Drosophila melanogaster: one gene and its partners. The protein of the gene in region 1 purifies or fractionates together with the protein of each later gene. This does not show direct contact. Each region holds a gene or a part of one and is shown in the gene's direction. Other genes may lie near its edges.

Region 1 (5,968 bases):
AATCGAAAAACGAAGGTCTACCTCAAATTGAGTCCACCGGGGACCACGCTCAAAACAAAAATAAGGAGATTCAGGCGTGATTTTGACCCTTGTTTTGTTGTGCTTCTTCTATAAGGCCTTTGTATTTTAAATTAATGATTCATACATATATTATATTGCTCAAAGTCAATGAGGACTTAAATAATAATAATTTTGACAGTAAACCACAAATAATATTTTCTGAAACTTGTGAATTTTGTTAATACTTATGGTCAAATGTAATGTCGGGTCTACTATTTAATTTCCAGTAAATTTTATTTCTTAACAGCCTGTTAACTCCGGTGCATTTACAGAACTCTGCCCACTTAACAGCACGCTCCGTAATAGTTGGCAACTCAATGCAACACGTGTGGACGATAAACAGCTGTTCGGGCGGCAATTTAGTGGAAGCGAAACAAAACCAAATTCGTTAACTAAATCTTAAAAATGTCAGCTAATAAGCAAAAGAAATTGAGTACCATGGAGGTGGACCCCAACGAGGATGTCTCCAGTTCCAGCGAGGATGATGACGACGACGAACCGCATCCAGATGCCTATAAGGGAAACGAGGTAATCTAAGTGCCTCCAAAATATGAAAAGCAAATGTGTTTCAAAATTAATATCCGGCTAGGAGGTGCAAATCGACTTTGAGGGACGAGCTCCAGTAGATCCCGATGCCCAGGGAATCTCTCAACTCCTGCAGCGACTATTCCTTCGTGCCCACATCAACTGCAACCAAATGGCGGATTTGATCATAGGTGAGCACTCCAAGGTACTATCTTGATCTATCTATCAGCACAACTTTTTTTGTTTCCAGCCCAAAATTTTATAGGCAGTGTGATCTGCCAGTGCGACGACGAGGGCACCGAAAGCGAAACGGAGGACGACAACATGGTCGAGGATGGCACCATCTTTGGAATCACCTCTGTGCTGAACCTGACCGCCAAAAAGGATCAGCCCAGCATCGCCCAGTTAAGGACCTACATACTGGATCGCGCCAAGACGCACGCTTCTCCGGAGGTTCAGCAGCAGTTGAAGGAGATTCTAGACAGCGAGCAGCGCCATGTGGGATTCTTGATCAACGAGCGCTTTATCAATATCCCTGCCCAGATCTCCGTGCCACTGCTGCAGAGTTTGCAGCAAGAAATCGAAGCCGCCAAGGCCAAGAAAATGAAATACGACTTTGGCACTCTGCTGCTGCTGGTTAAGTTCTACAGGAAAGAGTCGAAGAAGGGCAAACCGGGCGAGGACGTGTACACCAACGCTGAGGATGAGTTGCTTTCGGATCGGGCTAAGTTCTCCTTCGAGTATTCCATGGCCTCTGAAACCGATTCGGGCATGTCTGGCGATTGGCTGGAAGGCGATGCCGTGATGACGCCCTACAGGAAACTCCTGGTCCTGGAGGCCAAAAAACTTCCGCAGCTTATTGACGATATACAACGCTTTATTAATGGCGAATAAATATTTTTTACATTTAAAACTGCTGTGTTATTTGGCCTTAATATAACACCCCGACAAATATCTAATTAAGAAGTAATAATGTCCGGTCTCTAACGACCGATAAGCTTCTATTTCTTTGTAGTCCCATACAAAGAGTATCAAAAATTCGAACCGAAAGCTTTCCACATCCTTTATGACAATTGGCAACGCGGGCAAACCACAAACAGCTGTCACTTGGCCGGCATTTGAAAGCTTCGCACATGCCGGCTGGTCTACTGTGAAAAAAAAACCTGGTTGCCATTCCTTTGTTTTTTGCCACTGGTTAGTTTTGGCCCAGAAACTGCATCCACCGTGGACGTGACTGGCAAGAGGAACCCACAATAACAATTCCGAAGACCGAGCGACGTGAGTAGACTTTGCCTTTATTGTTTACAAGTTATATCCGAGTTCTAGAATTACGTACATAGCGAGCATACTGGCGATTATTCATCGCTCGTGCGATTTGTTTTCATTCGAAAACGCAAGTAGCAATTAAAAAAAAAAAACCTAAAGCCCGGCTCGCTAGTAAAATGTATAAAAAGCTTGGCCACCCAGCCAGAACATTGCAAATCGTCGCGGAGAGCTATCACAATCGCTCCTTATCGCCAGCTTTCCGTTCCAGATCCCGCTCCCAAGTTTCCAGTTTCCAGCTGCAGCGCTTTGTTCCCATCAGGGAGGTTCAGTGACGCCCCACTTGCCGATCAACCAAGTCGCGTGAGCTGCCTGCGAAAAAGTACTCATCATGGGTATCGAAAAGTGAGTATTTATTACCAACAGTTATTAGAGGGTGTGTTTTAAGTTAGCGCGGATCAGTTATCTAGCCACCGCTTAGCGACCGATTGGAAAAGCTCTCAAAGATTCGCCATCTTTTACAGTGAGGGTTAGTCGCTTAGCATCCATCAATTGCTATCTTATTTACCTTTCCCATAATTCCAAAACGAAATTAGAATGTTTTTAGTACTGCATATCTCAGCGTTTATCAGTTTTAATTAGTTGCCGGCAAGGAATAGATGTCATGAAAATTCCAAACTTTATCTTTTCCCAAAATAAAAACAATGTTTGGCGAAATACTGTATAAAAGTTAAAGGGGGGAGGTCACTTAATTTTATCATTATTACTTAGATAACGAGTTCTTGCTACTTCTGGAAACAGATATATATAGATCAACTTTTATTGTTTGATATGGGGCACTTCAAAAGATAACACAATTAAATGGTCAGCGACATAGGATTATTCTCCAAAATATTATAGACCCAGTTACCTAAGGATTGGTATTTAGTAGAAACACTTGAATAAGATTACAAATATTCTAAATAAGTACTTTAACACCATTTGTGCTAATACTTGGTACACTTGTTTCTAAATTGGAAATCGGTTTGTGATTATGGTCATTTCGAAAGCTTATCGCGATTCTTTATAGCACTTCGAGTTAAGATAAGCCCAGCGCCAGGAATGAGGGTAAACGAAAGGGGAACACACTGAAACATGGCCATGGTTGCTCCTAATACAGTGGGGACATTTTCTTTTGAAATAATAAATTGAAATACAAAGGCAACAGGCTGTTATGCAATATGAACGACTGCATCAGTTAATAAAGCAAATGTGACGTGATAAAATTCAATTCAATTAAACGCTATTGCACATTTAGTTGACACCCAGAAATGTTTCTTAATGAATACCAATAACGATTCCGTTGCGCACTTTAACTCTACTCTACGTGTGCCCCTCCAGAATTCTACCATGCACCCTCCGGCTGAACAAGCTGATGAGTCTGGCCGGCAACGACTGCCTGTGCATCATCGATCGCAATGCGGTTCCCAATGAACTGAAGGCCACCTTCGAGGAGCACCGCAAATTCGACAAGTCCTTCGACAGCAGCATATCCTGCTTTAAGGTGCCCAACGTGGATCAACCTGTGGTCTATGCCCCCGTCTCCGAGCTCACCGACTACGACGATGTGAGGAGCTACCAGGAGGCGGCCAAGCGGTCCATGGAGAAGGTTCTCAAGGTGGGTTTTTTTTTTCTATACATATTGTGTGAATTATGAAAGAAAATGTATATGTATTCTTTGCCAGGCTGGATTCCACACGCCGTTGCTGTTTGTGCCCAAGGTTAAGCGCTTCCCCGAGGTCGAACTCTGCACCGTTCTGGGAGCTCTGGAGCAGCTTTATGTGGTAATATGGATTATGTTTACTTTTATTTCAATCAATGTGCTAAAACACGTTTTTTAGCCCATTCAATTGCGCGAGGCAGGAACTTTGAAGGACCCCCGTGTGACCACGCTCAGTGTCCAGATCGATGATCCAAGGGCCGAAGCTATTTTCCAGGAAGCTCTCATTCTGGAGGCCGGTCGCTTTGTGGCCCGCGACATCGGAGTTGGGGACCCGGAGCGCATGACGCCCATCCAGGTGGAGAAGTACATCAAGCCGTTGTTCGACAAGCTCAACGTGAATGTGATCAGTGACACCCAGGTGTTGCAGAAGGAGTATCCCCTGTTTGCCGCCGTAAACCGGGCTGCTGATGCAGTGGAGCGTCATCGTGGTCGCATCATTTTCCTGGAGTACAAGCCTCCAAAGCCGGCGAGAAAAACTCTGATGCTGGTCGGCAAGGGTGTTACCTATGACACCGGTGGTGCTGACATCAAGGCCGGTGGTGTGATGGCCGGTATGTCGCGCGACAAGTGTGGAGCGGCTGCTGTCGCTGGATTCATGCAGGTGGTCAGTCAACTGCAACCGGATGATATCCATGTTGTGGCTGCCCTGTGCATGGTGCGCAATTCCGTGGGCGAGGAGTGCTACGTGGCCGATGAGGTTATCACCTCGCGAGCTGGTCTTCATGTGAGGATTGGAAATACTGATGCCGAGGGTCGCATGTGCATGACCGATGCCCTGTGCCGCATGAAGGAGTTGGTCGTGGAGCAGAATCTCCCGGATCCGCATCTTTTCACCATTGCCACCTTGACTGGTCACGCCTTCATCTCGGCAGGTGAGGGTCAGTCGATTGCCATCGATAACAGCGTGGCCCATCGGGAGGATCACGCCAGAAGACTGCAGGCTGCTGGACAGGCCTTCGGAGAGCCCTTCGAAGTGTCCATTCTCCGTCCCAGTGACTTCTCTTTTAACGCTGGAAAGGTGATTGGCGAGGATTTGGTGCAGGCCAATAATGCCCCGTCGGTGAGGACTCCTCGCGGTCACCAGGTGCCCGCCGCCTTTATGATTAAGGCTTCTGGACTGGACAAACACGGGTTGGATTCAATGCTGCCCATTAAGTACACCCATATTGATATCGCCGGCAGTGCCGGTGAGCACCCAGCGATGCCCACAGCTGCCCCTCTTGTTTCCCTGGTGAAGACCCATCTGCAGAAGTAAATCATGTCCACCTAATATTCAGGAGGATGTGTACACGATCACCACAAACAGTACTTATACACCCACGTGCTTAGCTAACCAACAATATTATCCTACTAACTGCATCACTGTTTTTTAATAAAGGCAAAACCGAGTTCAGATTGTATTCATAAATGTATGTCACTAATTTGGTAATCGTTTACAAATAAATGTGAAAATGATTTGTTTTTTTCCTTAAGCTTACAAAGCAAATATCTCATTATATTCATCAACATGGAAATATAAACATTATATCATCCCATTATAGAGAATAACCACCCTACATATATTTGTTAAGTATACAAGAAAGCCGCGTGGGTATTCGGTCTTTTTTATTTCTTTTTTATTATTACTGCATTTCCCAGCTGCATTGTTTGCATAATTGGCGGGTGCCCTGCATTTCGAGCTCTTGTTGGCCATCTACGGTATGGCTCGTACTCCTGCTCTTCCCCTTTCGCAGCCTTTTCTCTTCAGCTTTGCAGCGCCTTCTTTTTTTGTAGCTTGGCCCACAGCCTAGAACCCGTTAGTCGCTTCTTGGCCATGCTCTTCGCTTTGGGCCCCGTTCCCGGGAGCTTGGCCCAGCAACTTGGCGTGGATTGGCTTGGTTGGGGGATGGGGATGTGGATGGGGCCCGCTTGTCAGCTGTCGCATGTGTCTTGGTACCGTTATTGCCTGGCTTTGGAAACTCGGTCAAGAGTGTCTCATTCATGCTGTGATTGCATAATATACCGTTGGCTCCCGTTGGCCTTCTTCTGGCTTCTGACTGCGGCCTCTTCCCGTTCTTGGCCGTTCTCCCGTACCAATACCAACTTGGTTCCAACCTCTTTCTCCATCTGCGATGGGTGCGCTTCTGGGTAATTTATTGACAGTCACACTGGCCACTTTTGGTCATCTGGCCAAGTCGGAACACTTGGACTCTGACCGGGCTAACGGTACTTATTATTGATGAACGCAAAAGTCTTTTTCGTTGACTTGTCTCCCATTTACAATCCGTTAGTGTGAATTTATTGCCAAGGCGGCACGAACCAAGAAGAAGGCCTCAGCAGCAACAGAAGTGGGAGAAAAGAGGGAAGATCTCTGGTCTT
Region 2 (3,896 bases), on another chromosome or scaffold:
TGCGCCGAAAGCTTCACTAAATGTAAAATTGAAATCTTTCATAAAAGCTTAATTCAAAGACATACGTAATTATTATATTTTCTCCACAGTACTTAAAGCCGGAAATCAAAATGCTCTTGTACTATTGTAGTAGTGCACAAAAAACAAGAGACAAGATTGCAAGATGTCAAGATCTAAGCATGGCCTATTGGGAATATCCTCCTGCGAAAATCTGCTGTCGCAAATCGAAAGTGGTAATAGATGTATAATTCATAAAGGTAAACTGGTATTATTAAGAACCGAACGCATTTTAAGATCATAAATCGAGTTCCAAGCATCGATCTACCGCGTCCACTTCAATGTGGCCACTTCAACAGTCTAGAGCAGAGATCTATGATGAACGGAGAGGCGGAAGTGCCATGGATGGCGGCCCTTCTGGATGCTACTAGTCTTCAATAAGCGACTTCTGTCACTGAAAAACTAAACGAATACCAGCTGGCGAATGGGATGCGATAACGAAAAAAGAGCAAGAAAAACATAAGGATGTTTCCATCAGGAAGATTGTGCGACACAACAATGTGGCCCTGTTATTTCTCAAAAAATCGCTCGACCTAACCCACCATATAAACCTGATTTGCCTGCCGCCACCGAATCGCAACTTTATCTATAATCGTTGCATTGTCAGTGGCTGGGGTAAGAAGAACTTCGAGAACATCAATGTTCAGAAGAAAATGTGCCCCTGGTGGACAGATCTAGGTGCCAGAGCGACAAGTTCAAGGAATCTTTGGCAAAAACTTCTATCTCGACCCCAGTCTGATGTGCGCCGGCGGTGAGATTGGCAAGGATGCGTGCAAAGGCGACGAAGGTTCCCCACTGGCCTGTCCCCTCTAAAGCGATCCTAATCGATATGAGCAGGTGGGCATCGTCAACTATGGATTAGTATGTGGCACAGATATTCCTGCTGTTTACACTGATGTTTCGAAAATGCGACCCTGTACTGACTATCAGATCAAATGCTTACCAACCACAAAAAGCAAATATTTATTCCCAACTAGAATAGTGATCCTATTAAAAAGAAATATAAACTTGCCTAATTTAAAAATACGGATATTTTTGAAACGTTTATAAGTAAACATATAATCCCAATATCAACCAACGTGGGATGTTGTATATTAATTAGCTAATACAGCTAGTTCATATAACAAGCTGCGTTCATCTTGCTACTTTCGGCTAATTGTGGACTTGGGCGGGTCGTTTCATTGATTTATGGCTGCTAATTTCAACGCATGGCGCTCAAAGTATTAAATAATAAACTCTATTCCGCCAGCAGGCTCTCGATCCCGCTGTTTTCCAAATCCCCGCCATAACTCCACCCACAACATCATCTTCATCGGGCTCCTGCTGAGCTGCAGTGTTGGTCGAGATGAGGCGCCATGCAATATGAGACCATAGGAAAGGGCTCCCTTTCTGGTCGCCCGGCAGACTTTACAAGTGTTTCCCTCGACTTTATGGGCCAGCTCGGAACTTGGGCGGGAGTTTTCCCGTTCCGTCTGGACGTGTAATGAAATTAAAGGCGTAATGCAATACAGCTGGCAAAGTTTTTGCAGCGGTTATTTCCATGGGTTCTCGTTACTGTTTGCTCTTTTGCCCGCCAGTAGCCGTCGTCGCATCTCCAGACAGTCATTAAATTTAATTAATATCTTCCGTTTTTTACCAGACTGCGGTCTTCAAAAAATTTGATACCGTTTGCTGTTGTTTCTTGTATTGTGTGATGAATTTTTTTCGGGGCATCTCTTTTTTTGGAGATATTCGGAAATATTTTTGGCAAACCTTTTAAATATTATATGCCCCTGAATTACAACCGATAATATTATTTTCTACTCAAATACACATATAAATATGTGAAAAATTCGATTTAAATTACATAAAATTTGTAATTGCGAGAATAAAACTACCATATACACTTTTTTAATACTTGTAATATAAAAGTAAAATTTTATTCTACTTTGAACATTTAACAACCCAATCAATTTAGCCTTGCTTTTTGATTCAGAATAATTTGACGTGACTGTCAGAATTTCGTTTCTTAATTTAGTGTCCCTTGCACATTACAAGCAAACGGTCGTTTTGAGCTAAATAAGTTAAAACAATTAAAAAATGAGTTCCAAAAAGAATATAACTCCACCAAACAATTCAGCCGATAAGGAAACGGATCGCAAAATCCCCGAAGAGTCTCTATCAATCACTAACCATCCGGGGGCCACATCAACGCCAACTTATATGACACGCAAACGGCAGAGGCTTTTATCTCTCCAGATGGATTCTGCATTGTCATTGTCATTGGTGGATCGAGTTCCACAAACATTCGAGGATATTCGTGGACGAAAGGGTATTCGTGATGCCAGTTCTCCAAAAACTGGTAAACTCCCAAGGACTAAAGCCCGGAATATACCGAAAACACCAGCGCGTGTTTCCCCAAGTATAAATCATGGTAGGAATTCTGCTAAGCCAAAGACCCCAGCTAAAAAGAAGACTACGGAGAAAACTCCTGCGAAGACGCCCACAGACACGCCGAAAATATCGCCAAAAAATACGCGACAAATATCGCCGAACAAGTCGCCAAAAACTTTCTCGATGATGCAAAATGTTCCAGCAAAAAAATCACCAATAAAATCATTAATAAAGAAGCCGAAAACGCCAGCAGTGAAATCACCAATTGAACCCATTATATTACCAACAGAGTCCCAATTGAAATCTCCGATAAAGTTATCAATTTCGCCAACGAAATCATCAATGATGTCAACGATTTTGACAAAGCAGTCGGTGAAGTCCGAAAAGAATTCCCCTGAAGCCCATTTCTCTGGAGAAGTAACCAATAAGGAAAATGCCGCTGAAGAAGATATTTCGGAGCCACCTTCAAAACAGCCTCGTCTACATATTTTGCAAGTCAATTTGGGGTCCCCATTCGCAATGACGCACAGCAAAAAACTGAAAGTAATTGCAGTAGATTCCAATGATGAAAATCAGGAAGCAAAAGAAGCACCTCCTGACAATTTAAGCGAAATCAACACAAGTGAGGAAATGAAGTCCTTCGAAATCAAAAATTCTTTTAAAAATGAGATAGAAAAATCGGACAAAAATTGTTTTATTTCGTAAGGTTATCAAAGCTTTACTAAAAATAAATATGATTTGAAGCGAAACAATTTATTTTACTAGTTTTTTTAAGGACGGGGGAATATCAATAGTACACGACCGTTGTTCCTGGATGTTTCTAAATAAAGATTATCAATGCGATGCAGCAGGCCTTAACAACTTATTCCTTTGCCGGTTTCTAGCACTAGCCTGATTGTATAATCTACACTTTTGCAGACAATAAAGTTCTTTCAGCGCACTTTGTAAGCTGGCAAAATGCACAGAAATGGCATTATCACGTTGCACACAGCTAATTTGCAAGCAAAGGACGAGGAGGTGGAATATAGCCATAGACGGGAACGGGGTACAAAAAGATCGGCCAAAGAGAAAAGAAAACTGAATTATATTTGCACAATAAACTTGGCAGCCGCCGTCTCTCTATATTATTATTCTGCCAGTTGTTTGTTTGTAGTTGTGTGTTCTCTTGTATCTGTGGGCAATAGTAATAAGATGCAAGCACACCAAGCATTCCTTTTACACAATTTTCCTTTCCCGCCCGCCGAATGACACTCAAGAAAATAAAAGCCACTGTCAAATTAAATATAATATTTATGGTAAAACACAAAGGCATTATTAGAAAAACAATTTGGTACATTTTGATAGAAAAACGGGTTTTAATAATTCATTTTCAAATAGGTTAGAATATTTTCGAAATATTAGTACAGGATATAAAAAATTTCTGTAAGTGTGCAATGAAAATGCGGAAAAAAAAGGCGCAAGAACTG
Region 3 (5,410 bases), on another chromosome or scaffold:
AGGGCAGCCAGGGCCGCGCCGAGGAGGAGGAGGATAACATCATCCCATGGCGCGCCCAGCTGCGCAAGACCAACAGCCGTCTCAGCCTGATCTGATCTGCATCCACGTACACATACCCAAAAAATTAAATCCATTTTTCAATCGACTCCTAAGCGGTGTATTTTTTTTTTTTTTTTTTTTGTGGATTAACTTAAAGCATGTGCAATTATAATGAGAAAAACCCTAAATATAAAGCATAAAACCTAAGCCTAAGGTCTAGCTACTTACATTGTACTATATGCATAATCATTTTTGCACCTCCATATTTTTTTTTTTTTTCGCCAAAACGAATATTGTTATTCCTAGTGGGCAGTACAGTATCTCAAGGCGAATCAAACGTATATATCTAATCTTAGCTGCTGTGCTTAAGTTCTATTTCGGTTTTGTATTTTAATCACTTATACTCTCTATTTTTTGACATTTTTTTTTGTGACTTGGCTTGAATTTATTTAGTACTGGAATTAATTTAATTGATTGGTTAAGCATTTTTTATTGTTATTTGTTTTTATATACGCGGCTCAAACAATATTACTTTTAATAATATAAATACACGAATACATACAACACATCTATGAATGAAAAAGCGAACGAATGAAACAATAAATACATATATATAATTTAAAACAAAAGAGAGAATGCTTTAGTCGAGTTCCCCGATAATTATATAACCGTGTCTCAGCTAGTGTGAATGCGAGCGCGAAATTTTATTATTTTTCTGGGATATCGATAGGAATTGGAAAATAAAATAAGAAAAATTGATCAAAAGTGTGGGCGTGGCAGTTTTAGGCGGCTTGTGGGCGGTAGAGTGGGCGTGGCATCGTGGGCCCCATGTTTTCCTTTGCCGTTGGCGGTGTGGTAAGTTTTTCTTAATTTTGTAAATCAATTTTTATACCTAAAATTTCCAGCCACCGCGCTAACCAACTCGGTGTGGCTAAGGAATTTTGGTCGGAACGTATCGACGTATTGTATACTTGACATGGTCGGAGACCAATACATTTTCAACGAATCTAGTATACCTTTTTACTCTACGAGTAACGTGTTTACTCCCTTCATATTCTATTTGTTGCTTTTGTTGGAGTCCAGACCCATTGATACCGCTGGCGCCCATCATTTGAATCATCGAGTACAGAATATCCAGGAAGTCTGTCTATTGGCAATAGAATTAAGATTTTTGAACATATAACATCCTTTTTTATGGGTATAGAACATAAGGTTGAAGGTGGTTAAAGTCAAATAAGTCAGTTAGTAATAATGAGCACATCGATTTCCAAAGCTCTGTATGTGTCACATTCGTTTAAAAGTTTGAAACAGCAAAAAAAAGCCATGTTTGTCGGTCCGTCGGTATCTCGTGATCTGAGACACTATACAGGCTAGAAAGGTGTATAAGATATGTTGTCACACCCCGAACTCCCAAATCAGGAAGAAAGCATCTGCTTTGCTCATAATTTCATGGTTTTATTACCAACTTATGTCATGCTGGCTATGCAGGTATTGATGTTGGGCACAAAGGCGTTGCAGCCGTCGACCACCTTCTTGGTGGCATCGACGTAGCAGGAAGAGGTGTTGAAGGGCAGGGCTGCGCCCTGCTTGATCAATGTGTTCATGCGGCGGACAAGGGACATGGTGGCGTAGAAGGCCTTCAGGGTGCAACGCATGAAGCTCTTGGTGGAGGAGACGACGCTCCTGGAGGTGGAGGCGCACAGCTCGGACTTCATGTTGATGATCTTGTTGCTGGTGATGATCATTTGCTTGACATTGTTCAGCATGGCCTGGATATCCTTGGGAATATCGCCGGTGCAGGTGCTCAGGTCGTCTACGTAGTTGGTGCAGGTGAGCAGCACATTGGCCACCTCCTCGACGATGCACTTGGTGCCGTTGATGCCCTTGTATCCGGCCCACAGAATCTTGCGGCACGATCCAATGAAGCCGAACTGCTCGACGCCCATGAACTCATCCTCCATTGCCATCAACTCGGCGGCGTAGAGATCCTTAAGCTCGGCATCGGTGTAGGGCTCGAAGTCCTCGAAAGCACCTACGGCACTGGCCTAAAACAAGTTAGGAATACGATTCGATTTTGGAATAACTGTCAAAATATTTGACTTCAAGTAGCACACGTTTTAAAAGCACTTCGGAAAAAAAATTGAACAAAATATATTTGCTTTAAGCGACGATTCTGTTCATTAAATCTTTGTTTGCTGCACTTTTCGGATTTTTTTCAAACTCTAATAACGATGGCACTTGACTGTATTTGCTAGTAGTTCTTCATAAGGTTGTCTGACTTACGTTCGCTGTGGCCAGAAGGAAGCTGGCAGAGGCCACGACCAAGAGGCAGACGTTGAGTACTTTCATGTTACTGGTGGATGGTTTCACTGGCGAATGTTTGCTGACCGATCCGTGGGGTTTGTTTATATAGACGATTGGCCGGAGCCATATCAGTTAAGTGGCGATTCGGAGGTTCGATTTGCACATACACTTTGGAAAACCAATGTGCCGGCGATATGTATGCTTTAATTAAACCACCACACAAAGTCCGAAACTAATTTGACATTATCTATGCAGCGTGGACACACAAAGGAAGATAGCGAGATAGTCATATAGCCAGATTGTCCAGATTGGACAGGGATTCCTCAGGTAAGTCCGACACCACCCACCGCAAGCACTCCCATATATCGACGCGATGCATTCGATGCATAATCGCTCAAAGAAATCAATGGGTATTTTATTTAACAAAACAAAACCCTTGGAAAAGTCACCTATCTACGTTGTCAACGTCTGAGTGACAGCTTTTTAATATTTAAAGTGGCTTAAATCTAATTTATAAATAAGCATGAGCATTACAGTAAAAGAAGTATCGAGTATATTAAAAAACTAATTATACCAAAGAGAGAGCCTTTTATCTTCAAACCTGTCTCATGGCCCTAGGTTAAGGTGATCATATCTGTTGAGATATTGTTTTTGTCACACTTCCATTTTTATCAATATTCAATAGTGATAGAAAGTACACTCGCACTGGTTTTCGTTTAGGGGTGCAGACATTTGGTTAACAGTAACTAAACAATTATCTAACTATTCTGTACTCAATAAAATATAAATTTGTATTATAATTGAATTACTATTAATTTACTCTGACTAAAAATTGTATAAATTGTACAAATATACAAATATAGGTATGTTATAGAGCAACTTGTTATATTCCACTTAATACTTTTTGCAAATCGATGGAAATTCGCAAGACTAATAAAAATATAAAAAATATCATATATACGATATACCAGATCGACTCGGCTATTGATCCTAATCAAGACTATATGAAAACGCTTCCTTTTACTTTACGAGTAACGGTTATAAAAATTTAGTTACGAATAGTAATAAAAAGGCTTTCTCTCCTCTAACAAAATTAAATAACTAGCAAAAACTGTGATAACACGGATTTTTATTGAATGCTCGAATCAATTGCGGGCACTAAACCCCTAAGAAGTCAGCTTGGAGCAGCTGATGATGTTCTGGGGAAAGGCGGTGTAGTAGGTGGTCAGGGTGTTGACGGCATCGGAGACACAGGCGACGGCATTGGGACCGGTTTGCGGGATCTTCTTGGCCAGCTTGATGGCATTGTCCACTTGCTTCTTTAGGGACCACACCTTGCGCAGAGTCTTAACAAAGCAGCTGCCAGAGACCTTCGTCTCCTCGTCGTCCGTTTGGGGGCAAGTGTTGGACCTCAGATTGATGAGGTCGTTGCAAGTGCTGAGGATCTTATTGTTGGCGTTGATCAATTTGGTCACATCCTTGCTGGCGGTGACGCCGCACACGACCACGTCCGTGTTAAATTGGGTCGCACTGTCCTTGATGCCCGCCACCCACTTGATTATGCAATTGAGTCCCTTGATGCTTCGCAGAGCGATCTTTAGGGATTTGTAGGTCGTACTCAGCACGCCAAAGTCCTCCACCTCCAAGCTACCATCGGTCACATCGTCCAGTTCTGACGAAGAGTCCAGGGCGCTGGGAACAGGAGCCACCAATGCATTTACCTGGAATTTAAATATTTGCTACCATTGCGCAAATAATTTGTATTTTTCATTGCAAAACTTACGCAAAACAGGCCCAAAGCCAAAATAAGAATGGTATACTTCATGCTGTCGTTGTTTATAAGCAACTATGAAAACCGTTTCCGATTCGGCCCTTTTATATCGCTTGGTTTTTTAACCCTTTAGTGGTCAGGTAGGTCTTGTACAAACAGAAATATAATAGATATCTAGGTTCATAACTCTATTATTAGAGCTAAATGTTAGGATTGCACGGATATTATATTATATTGGTAGTATACGTACTGATGATATTTATATATCCTAGTTTTTTGCATACCTTTTTTGTGTTAAGAAAAGCGGTTAAGACTATATTGAACTTGAGCCAGTCACATTGGTGCTCTGATAACGCATTAAGCCAATTGATCATTTGGACACCGAATTTATCTATAAAATACAAAAAACCCAATTGATAACGCTATAACAACAAATCGAATTACAGTTCGATTTTAAATCATACTTATGGGCTGACTTACCTGCATACAAAGCTTTACTTTCACATATTAAAATGTATTTGCCTACTTTTGGGCTTAAGTTTATAACTTATCAAAATTATGGTAAAGATAAAATAATTGAAAATATTTAAATTTAAATCTGTTTTGACAAGTCTACCAACTCAAGCCAAATTGTTTATACTCTTCTGCCTCAGGGCGATTTGCAGATTAAATGCACGGTGGCCTTTAATCACACCATTTTCACAAGTTTCAATTACAATCGCCGGTCATTCGATTCGTATTTCACATACGGATTCCCATGAATGACATAGTTTGCTTCACCGCAAGTCTTACGTCGTCATCATCGCTGGACAAAAGTCAGTTGACTTCATTGAAGTGCCCTACGATTTGATTTGCTAGCCACGTGAGAAGCGCCATATCTGATAAGCTGGCCGATTAGATGGAAGGTTCGAAATACGAAAATCGTCTCATAGAGGGGACCGTATCGATAAGGATTTATACACGCTTAGCATTAACTTATTCGCCTTTCATATCTACAATACGTCTGATTGTTTCCAGGAAACGATAATTTCATTGGCGAACATAAGAGGTGCACGGTATAGCATTAGTCATCAATGTTCTCATTGATCACATATTAAAAAAAAAAACACACAGATGATACAACCTGTGACCTGTCAACGTTTCGGTAAAAGTTTATGACACAAAGTGTATAAATTGACAGAACAATATAACTATTAATGTGCAGCGCCATGAAAATATCTCCCAAGACTTTATGTTGATAACTTCACAGAATTATGACTTATTAAGTGAAACGGCTTTTATATTGGTATTTTTATT

What was found.
Region 2: the proteins of Dip-B (region 1) and CG18518 purify together in Drosophila melanogaster (affinity purification with mass spectrometry, with the first as the bait; one large-scale study listed by BioGRID). This does not show direct contact.
Region 3: the proteins of Dip-B (region 1) and CG5445 purify together in Drosophila melanogaster (affinity purification with mass spectrometry, with the first as the bait; one large-scale study listed by BioGRID). This does not show direct contact.

What each region holds. Positions count from the first base shown.
Region 1 is NT_033777.3:13,780,589-13,786,556, forward strand, and holds Dip-B (dipeptidase B), read left to right. Parts: upstream 1-1,699; 5' UTR 1,700-1,863; intron 1,864-2,051; exon of another isoform or gene 2,052-2,106; 5' UTR 2,107-2,239; coding exon 2,240-2,253; intron 2,254-3,228; coding exon 3,229-3,505; intron 3,506-3,572; coding exon 3,573-3,671; intron 3,672-3,728; coding exon 3,729-4,865; 3' UTR 4,866-5,088; downstream 5,089-5,968. Other genes in the region: CG9288 (uncharacterized protein), read left to right, coding at 1-80; CG9286 (uncharacterized protein), read left to right, coding at 466-588, 650-776, 836-1,479.
Region 2 is NT_033779.5:15,833,849-15,837,744, reverse strand, and holds CG18518 (uncharacterized protein), read left to right. Parts: upstream 1-2,086; 5' UTR 2,087-2,136; coding exon 2,137-3,135; 3' UTR 3,136-3,176; downstream 3,177-3,896.
Region 3 is NC_004354.4:17,280,306-17,285,715, forward strand, and holds the start of CG5445 (uncharacterized protein), read left to right. Parts: upstream 1-2,190; 5' UTR 2,191-2,322; coding exon of another isoform or gene 2,323-2,388; 5' UTR 2,389-2,539; intron 2,540-2,598; 5' UTR 2,599-2,670; intron 2,671-3,456; exon of another isoform or gene 3,457-3,509; coding exon of another isoform or gene 3,510-4,064; intron 4,065-4,126; coding exon of another isoform or gene 4,127-4,168; exon of another isoform or gene 4,169-4,195; intron 4,196-5,398; exon of another isoform or gene 5,399-5,410. Other genes in the region: f (forked), read left to right, coding at 1-95; CG8664 (uncharacterized protein), read right to left, coding at 1,506-2,084, 2,323-2,388; CG8661 (uncharacterized protein), read right to left, coding at 3,510-4,064, 4,127-4,168.